Linked DNA regions of Caenorhabditis elegans. The protein of the gene in region 1 interacts with the protein of each later gene in a biochemical or structural test. Each region holds a gene or a part of one and is shown on either strand. Other genes may lie near its edges.

The links.
Region 2: of the proteins of lin-23 (region 1) and cdc-25.1, one has a biochemical effect on the other in vitro, tested with the Caenorhabditis elegans proteins (one study listed by BioGRID).

The regions. Positions count from the first base shown.
Region 1 is NC_003280.10:6,369,333-6,375,085, forward strand, and holds lin-23 (F-box domain-containing protein), read left to right. Parts: upstream 1-1,970; 5' UTR 1,971-1,980; coding exon 1,981-2,106; intron 2,107-2,224; coding exon 2,225-2,363; intron 2,364-2,416; coding exon 2,417-2,591; intron 2,592-2,644; coding exon 2,645-2,939; intron 2,940-2,986; coding exon 2,987-3,355; intron 3,356-3,490; coding exon 3,491-3,931; intron 3,932-4,080; coding exon 4,081-4,431; intron 4,432-4,472; coding exon 4,473-4,580; 3' UTR 4,581-5,218; downstream 5,219-5,753. UniProt on the Caenorhabditis elegans protein: Functions cell autonomously to negatively regulate cell cycle progression. Required to restrain cell proliferation in response to developmental cues. Probably recognizes and binds to some proteins and promotes their ubiquitination and degradation.
Region 2 is NC_003279.8:6,468,706-6,473,634, reverse strand, and holds cdc-25.1 (M-phase inducer phosphatase cdc-25.1), read left to right. Parts: upstream 1-1,712; 5' UTR 1,713-1,732; coding exon 1,733-1,871; intron 1,872-1,919; coding exon 1,920-2,082; intron 2,083-2,125; coding exon 2,126-2,630; intron 2,631-2,680; coding exon 2,681-2,982; intron 2,983-3,028; coding exon 3,029-3,341; intron 3,342-3,383; coding exon 3,384-3,521; intron 3,522-3,568; coding exon 3,569-3,823; 3' UTR 3,824-4,249; downstream 4,250-4,929. Other genes in the region: uad-2 (Chromo domain-containing protein), read right to left, coding at 358-414; K06A5.2 (DUF389 domain membrane protein), read right to left, coding at 4,279-4,598, 4,641-4,803, 4,846-4,929.

The DNA.
Region 1 (5,753 bases):
TTACAAAAAAACTTCAAATTTCTAATTGTTCCTTGCCAATTGTACTAATGTTGACCTTTAGTATGCACCAATGATAACTGGATATTCTGTTTTTGGCAGATAGATATATTTGAATTTCAGATGAGTCTAATGAATAATAAATACCACGAACCTAGCCATCATTCGTGTTTTTATTTAACCAATAGAAGCACCCATCGAAGAAATAAAGGGTATAATGATTTTTCAATGAACCTGTTCAACATCCTAATGTCTTTTGTCTTGCAACAGAAGTTGACAGAAATTATGTGGTATTACGTTTAAGTGTAATTCTCAAATTTCAATGTATGGTATCAGCTAATTTAAAAGTTTGGATATTTCAAATTTAGTACAAAACTTAGAAAGTTTCAGATTCTATACTAAAAACAATTTTTTCAGAATTGTGAATTCCTTGAAAGTGTAATATACATGTAATAGAATAAATTATGTTTATGGGATACGTTTTGCAAATTTTTATTATAAGTGGTTTCGAATTTATCCGATTTCTGAAGCACAATAGGTCTTGCCACGAACAAAAAACTTTGAAGCAGATGTTGCACAAAAAGGTGTGCGCCTTTAAAGTTTACAGTACTCTCACTGTCCTCTTTCTGATGTATTTACTTGCGTCTGAAATCCTGAAATAAAAACCGCTAGACCAACGAAAACAAGATTTTTCAAACGAACACAAAACAGACGGAAAAGAAGGTAGGTTGAAAAAGAACGAGAGATATGTCAATCTAAATGTGTAATAATATCTCGAATTTCGGGTCTGAAAATCAAAAGTCGAGCTGAAAATGTGATCAGCAGACAGAGGGAGGTAGTATTAGAGTGCACGGGGTGCAGAAAAAGTACGAGAAATACCCTTTCCCACACTGTTTTCTCTTGCTTTCTCCGCTTTTCGCTAGTTTTAAAGGTGAACAGAATCCAGTTGGATTGGGCTAGACATCACATAAAATGCGGAGATTTAGAGAAGGCAAGCGCGCCCTAAAGCAAAGAGGGCGTGCACGAGACGGCGGGTCGATTCAAGCTCTAACTGTCTGCGTCTCCACTATTGAAAGGTGCTTCACCGCTGTCTCTAATCCGATTTTCTTTCTCTTTTCTACCTTCTTTTCTGTCTTTTCTTTTTTGTTTCCTTCTCGTAACACTCAAATCTTCCTTTCGTATAGTCGTTCGTTTTCATCGTTTTCCGTTAGTTGTGTATTTTCAGGAAAACCTGAGATATTTTCAATTTCCGAACGTTTGTTCTCGTTTAATGCCCAACCGCATCATAAAAACGTTAAATATGTTTCTCCCAAATGGAGAAAAGAGCAAATTTATGATTGAAAAACTAAAAAAAAGTCATGACTAAATAGTTATTATGCTCATCGAAAAATTTGCCAGTTTAAATGCTATTTTATCGATTTTCTGAAATGCCCTGAAATCTTTGATTAAAATCACTATTTTGATTCTCTATCGAGACATATAAAAGATTCTTGATTTATTTTTTAAAATAAGTTGAAATTATAAACACAAATTTGACGATAAACACCAAAATGTGCGTTACCTTTTCATTTGCAATACATATTATTTAATAAGTTTTTTAAATGTCAATCTTCAAATATTGTGTTGTTAAATTCAAACTCCCAGATGTTTTATTTGCTATTTTCAGCTGAAATTCAGATATTCCTATAACAATTTATTTTTCTATTTGGATTAACCAGTTCACTGATTCTGTAAAAGATTACGAAATCAAGAGAATTCTCGAAACAAAAAATTCATTGCAACGTTGATACAATTTCATCTTCGGAACATTTTCCCTTTAATTTCCTTTAAATTTCGATGATACTGATTAACTCACCTGATTATATGAGATCTTTCCGACTTTAAATTGATTTTTACACAAAAACATTGTTCTCTAAATATCGACATATTTTTATCTTCTAATCAATCAACACTCAATAATATCCATTTAATTCAGGACATTAAATGTCTTCACCGCACCGAGCTTCAACAACTCAGCAGCTGGCGGACTTATCGTTGACGGAAGGTGAACACGATGAGGGCAAACCGCTTTCTATTGACTACCTTCAAGGGCACGAAGGCCTGATCGAGGTAAGGAAAACGAGATTTCCCGTCATTCTAGCGCCATCATAATGTCGTTTTGATTTTTTTTTTTTTTTTTTTTTTGATTTTTCCCAAATCTTTCTTCAACTATCATCACCTTTTTCAGGAAGTATTAAAATGGAGTGAACACGAACAGCTCGATTTTATGGACAAAATTGTTCATCGATTATCACATTATCAGTTGGGAAAAGTCGACAACTTTATCAGGCCCATGCTCCAGAGAGATTTCATTAGTAATTTACCAGGTAAAATTTTTGTCTGTTCAGTATTAAACTAATCTAATTCTATTTTATTTCAGCACATCTTGTCGAATTAATTCTGTTTAATGTAAACTCGGATTCATTAAAATCTTGCGAAGAAGTGAGCACAAGCTGGCGATGTGCACTCGCCCGTGGTCAACATTGGAAGAAATTGATTGAAAAGAATGTTCGAAGTGATTCCCTGTGGTGGGGACTTTCTGAAAAAAGACAATGGTTAGTTGATGATTTAGTTTATCAGAAAATAGGAATAAAATACTTGATTTCAGGGACAAATTCCTGAATATCAGTCGAGACATGTCAGTGCGACGAATCTGTGAAAAATTCAACTACGATGTGAATATTAAACGGGATAAGCTTGATCAGCTCATTTTAATGCATGTCTTCTACAGTAAATTATATCCAAAAATCATTCGAGATATTCATAACATTGACAACAACTGGAAACGTGGAAACTACAAAATGACTCGAATAAATTGTCAATCAGAAAATAGCAAAGGAGTATATTGCCTTCAATATGACGATGACAAAATTGTATCTGGTTTGAGGGACAACACTATTAAAGTCAGAATGATATTATTTTGATTTCAAAATAACTCTGATATTTTTAGATTTGGGATAGAAAAGACTACAGCTGCAGTCGAATTCTTTCTGGACATACTGGTTCCGTTTTATGCCTTCAATATGACAATCGTGTAATAATTTCTGGATCTTCTGATGCCACAGTACGTGTCTGGGATGTCGAAACTGGAGAGTGCATTAAAACGTTAATTCATCATTGTGAAGCTGTTCTTCATCTTCGATTTGCTAATGGAATAATGGTAACATGCTCAAAAGATAGATCGATTGCTGTCTGGGATATGGTTTCGCCACGCGATATCACAATTCGAAGAGTTCTTGTTGGTCATAGAGCAGCTGTAAATGTCGTTGATTTTGATGATAGATATATAGTCAGTGCAAGTGGAGACCGAACTATTAAGGTGAGAATTTGAAATTAAAAAACTGCTTTTCCAGTTATTAAGAAGCTTTTTTTTTAATTTAAAGGTGTACTTATCGTTTGAGTCTCGTTTACTATTCTTGCGGTTCTGAAAATATTAATTTTTTTCAATATTCAGGTCTGGTCAATGGATACACTCGAGTTTGTTCGAACATTGGCTGGCCATCGACGAGGAATTGCATGTCTTCAATATCGTGGACGGCTCGTTGTTTCTGGATCCAGTGATAACACGATTCGACTATGGGATATTCATTCTGGTGTATGCCTACGTGTTCTTGAAGGCCATGAAGAGCTCGTGCGATGCATTCGATTTGACGAAAAACGAATTGTCTCCGGAGCATACGACGGAAAGATTAAAGTATGGGATCTTCAAGCTGCTCTAGATCCTCGTGCATTATCTTCGGAAATATGCCTCTGCTCATTAGTTCAACATACTGGCAGAGTGTTCCGCCTGCAGTTTGATGATTTCCAAATTGTTTCCTCTTCACATGATGACACTATTCTCATTTGGGACTTTTTGGACGCTCCACCCAGTGGGCTTCCGTCTTCAACAAACAGAGTAAGTACAACATCTGGATCAAATCTGTTAATTGAGAAATGGCAGTACATTTGATAGTCTTCAAAATTCGCAAATACACTTTGAAGAAAAAAAAGTGCTTGCAAATTTGTAGTCAGTTTCTTTTCCGTGATTCATATTTATTTTTCTAGGCCACCCTCCCAGAACTTCCAAACCAAGCTGCTGTCGCTCGAGCTCAAATGCTTTTTGAAATGGCTGCTCGACGAGAAATTGAGCGACGAGATAGAGAAGTTGTGGAAGAACCTGCACTGAGGCCACGTGCCAATGCTGCTCGTCGACACAATGCCGATATTGCAGCAGCTGCAGCAGCGGCGGAAGCTGCTAGAGGTGCCGGGGACAATGATGAATCGTCATCAGAGGAAGATCTGGACAGAGTTGATCAGGTTAATAATCCGAACGTGGCTGGACCAGCGCCACCGCAACCACACAATCAGAATCATAGAAGGAGGCAACCAAGACCAGAATTGCCTGTCAGACTTATGGTAAAATTGAAAATTGAATGATGAGACTAAAGATTGACAAGTTTCAGCAAGAAATGGCTGCTTTTGACAATATGCGCCGACAACAAAATAATATGGATCACCTGGGCGGAGGCGACGTAGACGAAGAGATGCCAGATGGTGGCCCATAAAATCTACACTCCTTCCCATTTTTTTTTGAATTTTTACTGATCTTCAACCGGTGCAGAAATCAACCAAACCCTCTGTAATCTTCCTTGTCATTTTCCAAAAAAGAAAGTTGAAATTCCTTTGTACAGTATCCTTTTGCATCCCCTTCCCAACTTTTCCTCTCACTATTAACTGATCTGATTTCATGTGATAATAGTGTGTGTGTGTGTCTCTGCATTCTATTCATCTTTTCTCAATCGACATATTGGAATATCGCACGCACAACCCCTTTCTTTCTTGTTTTTGTAACCGCATTCGAGTCCTGGTTTTTCTGAAACTATTTTTTTAATACTTCAATTTTCAAAGTCGCATGCTTTGCGGGTGCCCATTCATCCACTCTCACCATTTTATTTTGTTTTTCATCCCTCTTCCCATTTCTCAACGGTTTTTCTTCTACGGCGACGATTCTAAATGCTTCTATCCCCCGCTTTCCTCACCCGCACATTTTCAATCGCTTCACACAAATCTGTTTCAAATAATCGTTTTCGTTCCTAATTTTTCTCCCCTTCCATTGCCTCCAATTCCAAATTTCTTTTATTCGCTCGGAAAATTGTGTTCTGTATAGTTCGAAATGATATAAACAAATTTGGGTTTTGCTACTCCACAATCTGCCATTCCATCTTTTTTTCTAAATTAGAGTTTCTCATTATCATTCTTCTGTCACTTCCTGTCTTTCCTACGTCATTGTCACTGACAACTTTGCAGAACCGATTTGAGCATTTCTGCAACTTTCTTCTATTACATCTCTACGTCCCCATTCTTATCACACTATTTATTTAGTCATGTGACAAGAGTGATAATGAGAAAATAATTAACCTTCCACTGAATCCCAGTTTTGTAGTAGAAAAAAGTCAAAAGTTATAATCGATAAGCATGCAAAATCAAGTCATGCGACAGTTAAATGACAACATATCGATTAGATATTTCACAAGAAAGTTTACGGAATTTTCCATATTTCAATTGCAATTCGATCAAAAATGTGACAGCTCAAGTGTTTGGCAGATCAAGTGTTTGGCAGATGGGTGGTGTCACATTTTAATGCCAAAACTAATATTTCTCCTCTGCAAAAGCAAAAAAGCGGTAAGTTTGAACCCGAAGTGTGGCAAAAAAAGTTCAATTTGGCACACACCTTTGAG
Region 2 (4,929 bases), on another chromosome or scaffold:
CTCTACTTTTTCATCAAAAAAGTTGAATTTTGAAAACCTCAAAACTTTTTCAGCGGTCTCGTTATGAAAATCAGGTAGTTTCAGCATCTAAGCAGCATATGTATCATGTTTGGGAAAGTTTAGGTTTTGTATTTCCGTAATCCATCATATTACATTGACCACTTTCACCGCTACTTACCGACTCAATACACAATTTTTCACTTGGAAATTGTTTTAGCATCTGCAAAAAATATTTATTTATTAGTTTTAATAAGAAAAACGGGAAAAAATGGTGCAAAACAAAAGAAAACACGCGGAAAACAAAGCAACATAAATGGCCGCTGAAATTTGTCGGGGACTCGACCATGGCCTAGAAACCTTTTTGCCTCGTCCCTCGTGAGGAAAAAGTTGCAGTGTCTCGCTGGAGCTTGGCATTCTGAAAAACCAAAACAATAGTGTTATGAAAGCTGTAATTCAAGAGTGGTTACACGTTCAAAAACTGACAATTTTCATGATTATCCAAGAACGCCAAAAGGTGGTTGTGGTCAGGATAACAGCTAACAAGAGCTGGTTTGAAGACATAATATAGAAATATGGAGCGGAAAAATAGAAAGAATGTTACAATCGTAAACGATGCATTTCAAGGCAATCATTGTGATAAATAGAAAAAGTGCTACGAGCAACAAGAAAGGAACGGTATAAAGAGAAAGGTATGAGTTCTCGTACAAACACAAACTGACAAAAAACTAAAACACTTAGGGTCTCGTATATTATGAGAAATTCTATTAGAATATGCATTTAAATTTATTAATTCAATTTAAAATAACAATCTGAAGGCTTCAACAAACCAAATTAAAGTTTTAAGGCTAAAATTATGAATAAATTAAAGGATGATTCATCATTTTGAATGAATTCAACTCAAAAAAAACATATGATTTACGACAAACAACACGCGGTACCGTTATATCGGAGTGTCATTGAAAACGCGAATTAAAATTGAAAAAAATTCAAACTTTGGAAACACTTTTACGCAAAAATACGGGGTGAGGCAAATACGCTTTATGGGAGGTTACTGTAGTTGGGCGGCTTTGGCCTAATTTCACTGACGGAAGCAGCTCTCCATTCTCCCAAAATTTACAATCAACAAATTTATTTCCATAATTTTTTATTGAAAATTTGATTGAATGTCAACTAAGTTCGTCTGTAAATGATTTCTAGACACATTGCCGTCCAGCATGTCTAAAAAGTGGCTTGTTCATGGGAGCTCTGAAATCTGATACCCGGAATGATGGGAAACTGAAAAAAAAATGGTATAACAGTGCAACAGAACATGATGAATACAGAAATTGGGTTTGCTGATTTCAAGATGATGATTGCGTTTTTTTTATGAGCAGTTTCTAAATACCAAAATAAAATTTCTTAATGAATAGATCAAACGAAAACTGGGCGCTAGAGCGCCAAAATTTCAAATCACAAATTATATCCTTCTTTTGATTAAATTTCAACTAAATAAGAATCTTTTGCCCAATTTTTTTCTAAATTTTCGAAGAGTCTAAATTCTTTTTCGATTAGGAAAAATTAAGCTCTTATTCATTCCTTTGTTGTCAATCACGGTCCTTTTTCCTCTTTTGTAACATAGGCTGCGTCTCTTCGTGTGGTCAATCTCTCTCCGCGTTTCTGGCCAAATAATTTTACTTCTAAATTCAAATGTTGGTATCTCCTATAATTTTTAGTTGAGGGCTGTGCATCTCTGATGGCTACCACCGGGGAAAAAGCAATATATGAGGATCAAAATAATGTAAATATCATCGAGAATGTGGTTGATGTGGCAAACGGTATCAACGAATCACCGAAAACCTTATTTGAAGAAGATGGCAGCTCCCGCGATTCTGGTTTGTCATGTAAATGGAAGGCTTAATTAATATTTGTTTCTTATTCAGGTGTCTCAATGACTAGCTGTAGCGACAAATCAGATGCATCACCCGAGGAAGATGTGGATTTTAGCAAACTGGAATCTGGTCGTGTAGCCCTCACAGACTGTTCCAATTTCGTTTCAATTTTACAACGAAACTCGTCTGTCAGCTCATCACGCAGCTCTTCTTTGTATATTCCCATCATGCGACTTCCAAAAAAAAACAATTTTCAGCTACAACTATGATACACCAACAGGGCGTAAGATGAAGACGGTGTTTGATTTGGATTCTCTCGATCACTCAGAATATGAGAAAAGAGTTATGAGCGAGAGACCAACGGATAATCATCGGAAAAGAACTTCCAGTTCAATGTCTCCCAGCGTCACGCTCCTGGATCGCAAGAGAAGCCGGAATTTGTCTCTTGTTGCTCCACAGAGTGACAAATCTTGTCGCTATAATGGTCTCAATAACCCGAGGGATGATCCATTCGGTGATGAAGACGATGAGGTCTTTGAGCAGAGCAACGTCAGAAACTCTCAAGTTCAGAATACATCAATTTTCGCTCAACCTGCCCCACGAACAGCAACTTCGTTATGGGATTTGGCACCGCCGATGTTTTTTGAACGAAAAACTTCCGATACGTCAGGCAACGGATCTTTCCAGGAGAGACCAAAACAAATTTTGCGTGCGATGAGCGTTGGTGAGATTGATTCTGAACTTCCTCCAACGTTAGAAGTGGTATACTTTTTCGATTATTTTTTGAAGTTATCCAGAAAATTACTTTTTAGAAGTACACTCTTCCCGGTGTTGATAATCCACAGAGAGAGTCACAAGCATTCCGGAGTATCTCACCTACTACTTTACTCTTGGAATTTCAACGTCTTGGAGATGATTTCGATAAGAAATACATTATAGTCGACTGTCGTTTTCCATTTGAGTACAAGGGTGGTCATGTGAAAGGAGCTATCAATTTGTTTCGTCATGACAAGATCAAGCCAATATTTTTCCCAGAAAACGGCGAAGCCAGTTCTTTTCAAAATCGTGTTCCGATCTTCTATTGCGAATACAGTCAGAAACGGGGGCCAACAATGTCGGTGGTATTTCTTTATTTATTTTATAAAATATCTGATTTTTAGGGCTCATGCTGTACGTTCTATTGACCGCGTGTTGAATGAACTTCGTTATCCACATGTCGAATATCCGGAAATGTATTTGTTGGACTATGGCTATAAATCGTTGTGGAGTACTGCTGAATGTCGTCAGATATGTGAGCCATGTTCTTACATTCCAATGACACACAGTTCATTTTCGATGGAATTTAAATCGGCTCGTCTCGAACGGCATCATTCAATGGCTTCGTTGAAACCTAATGGAGAAACCAGTCATCGCGAGGAAAAGAAGAAAAGATGTACTCGTAGTGTAATTCGAAGAAATAATTCTTCTTTGAACGTTAGTTTAAAATCGTCTTCAATTCAACTTTACTAATTTTAGATGTTATCAAGGTCGTCTAGTGCTTTAACCTCTACTGGAAGCAAGACAAGCAGCATGGAGAATATTCTTTATGGTTTGGATGATGAGAGACGACCCAAATGGGTTTCTGCGTTCGATATTCAAAGCACGGAATCGGAGGTAAATACTGTCATTAAAAATTTCAGTATAATTTTTTCATTTTGCAGAATGATTTAGATGCAGCTCTTATCTATCAGCGCAATATAAGTTCAAATGCTTCAAATGCGTCTTCCATAGTCAACCTAGCTGAAGAGCGCATTGTTCAACTTGGGCTCCAGGTGATCACACCGGATTTCCCAGATCGCCCGTCAGAATCATCGTCAACCACACCAGCAGGAGAACATCTCCCACTCGGGGAAGGGGGTCATCAGATTCCTTGTGGAATTCTTGACTTCTCATCGATTTCTGACGACGCCGAATAATAGCACCCTCTCTCCCATTACTTTTATTTATCATTCTGTTTAAACTTTGTTAATTTTCATCCCATCTTTTTCTTAACTTATTTTCCGTTTCTCGTTTCTTTTTCTATTTTGAGTCACACTTTGCAGGTCTCCGTTTCGACTGGTTCCTCTTCTACCAACCCATTCTTTTAAATCAGTCCCTTCTTGGTCTCTAAGCAATGTGGCTTCATTGCAATACGCTTCCAAGACTGAAGGGTTTTTTTTTTAACTCACGCCTTATGCCTAGGTCATCTATCTAATAGTTGTCAAACAAACTACTCAGTCACTGAGGATCTTTAACTCTCTAAATCACTTTCGCCATTCCCAACCACGCATTTACTGTACCATGACTTTCATTCTTTTGATCATTTTTATTTTCTTTCAAAATGAAGCCCCCTAGCACACTGTACATATTTATCAAATTTCATTCATTTTTCTTATGCGTTCACATTAATCTCAGCATTTCCTTCCAATCCAAATTGCTCTTCGGAAGCAGAGATTGGCACGTCATATGCTCCAAGAACACCGTAAACCAAGCACTTTGCAGAGATGGTGAGACCAACGAGAATGGCAGAATACAAGTTCACATTTGCACGGCTCTGATCACGACTAGCCAATTGAATGGGAATCAAAGCGGCAAGAGTGTAGAATCCAGTCAGTACAAAATAAACAGGTGTCAATGCTCCTTCAACAGCTCCAAGTGTGGAGTGAATCAGAATTGAGGTGGCCACAGTGGTTGAGAGTGAAGATGCCCGAGCTAAAATTACTTTTTTTGTATTTTCTAACGCAAGCAACTTACAAGTCGGGTTCATCACTGCAATAATGAACGAGGATGCAATAGTAGAAAGGGCAACGAATGGTTCAGCCGAAATCAAGACGTGTGACAATGCGGATCCAGTGAGAACTCCCTGTACAGTTGTTGCAATAACCAAAAGCCGGAATCCATTTAGAGGGCCGTAACCCTGAATATTATATTGTTTACAAAGTTATTCCGGATAGAGTACCGTGCTCAGCTGATAGTAGATAGCCAATGGTGCAACAAGTCCACTGAAAATAGCAGCTCCAACAGGAGGAATGAGAAAGGAGAT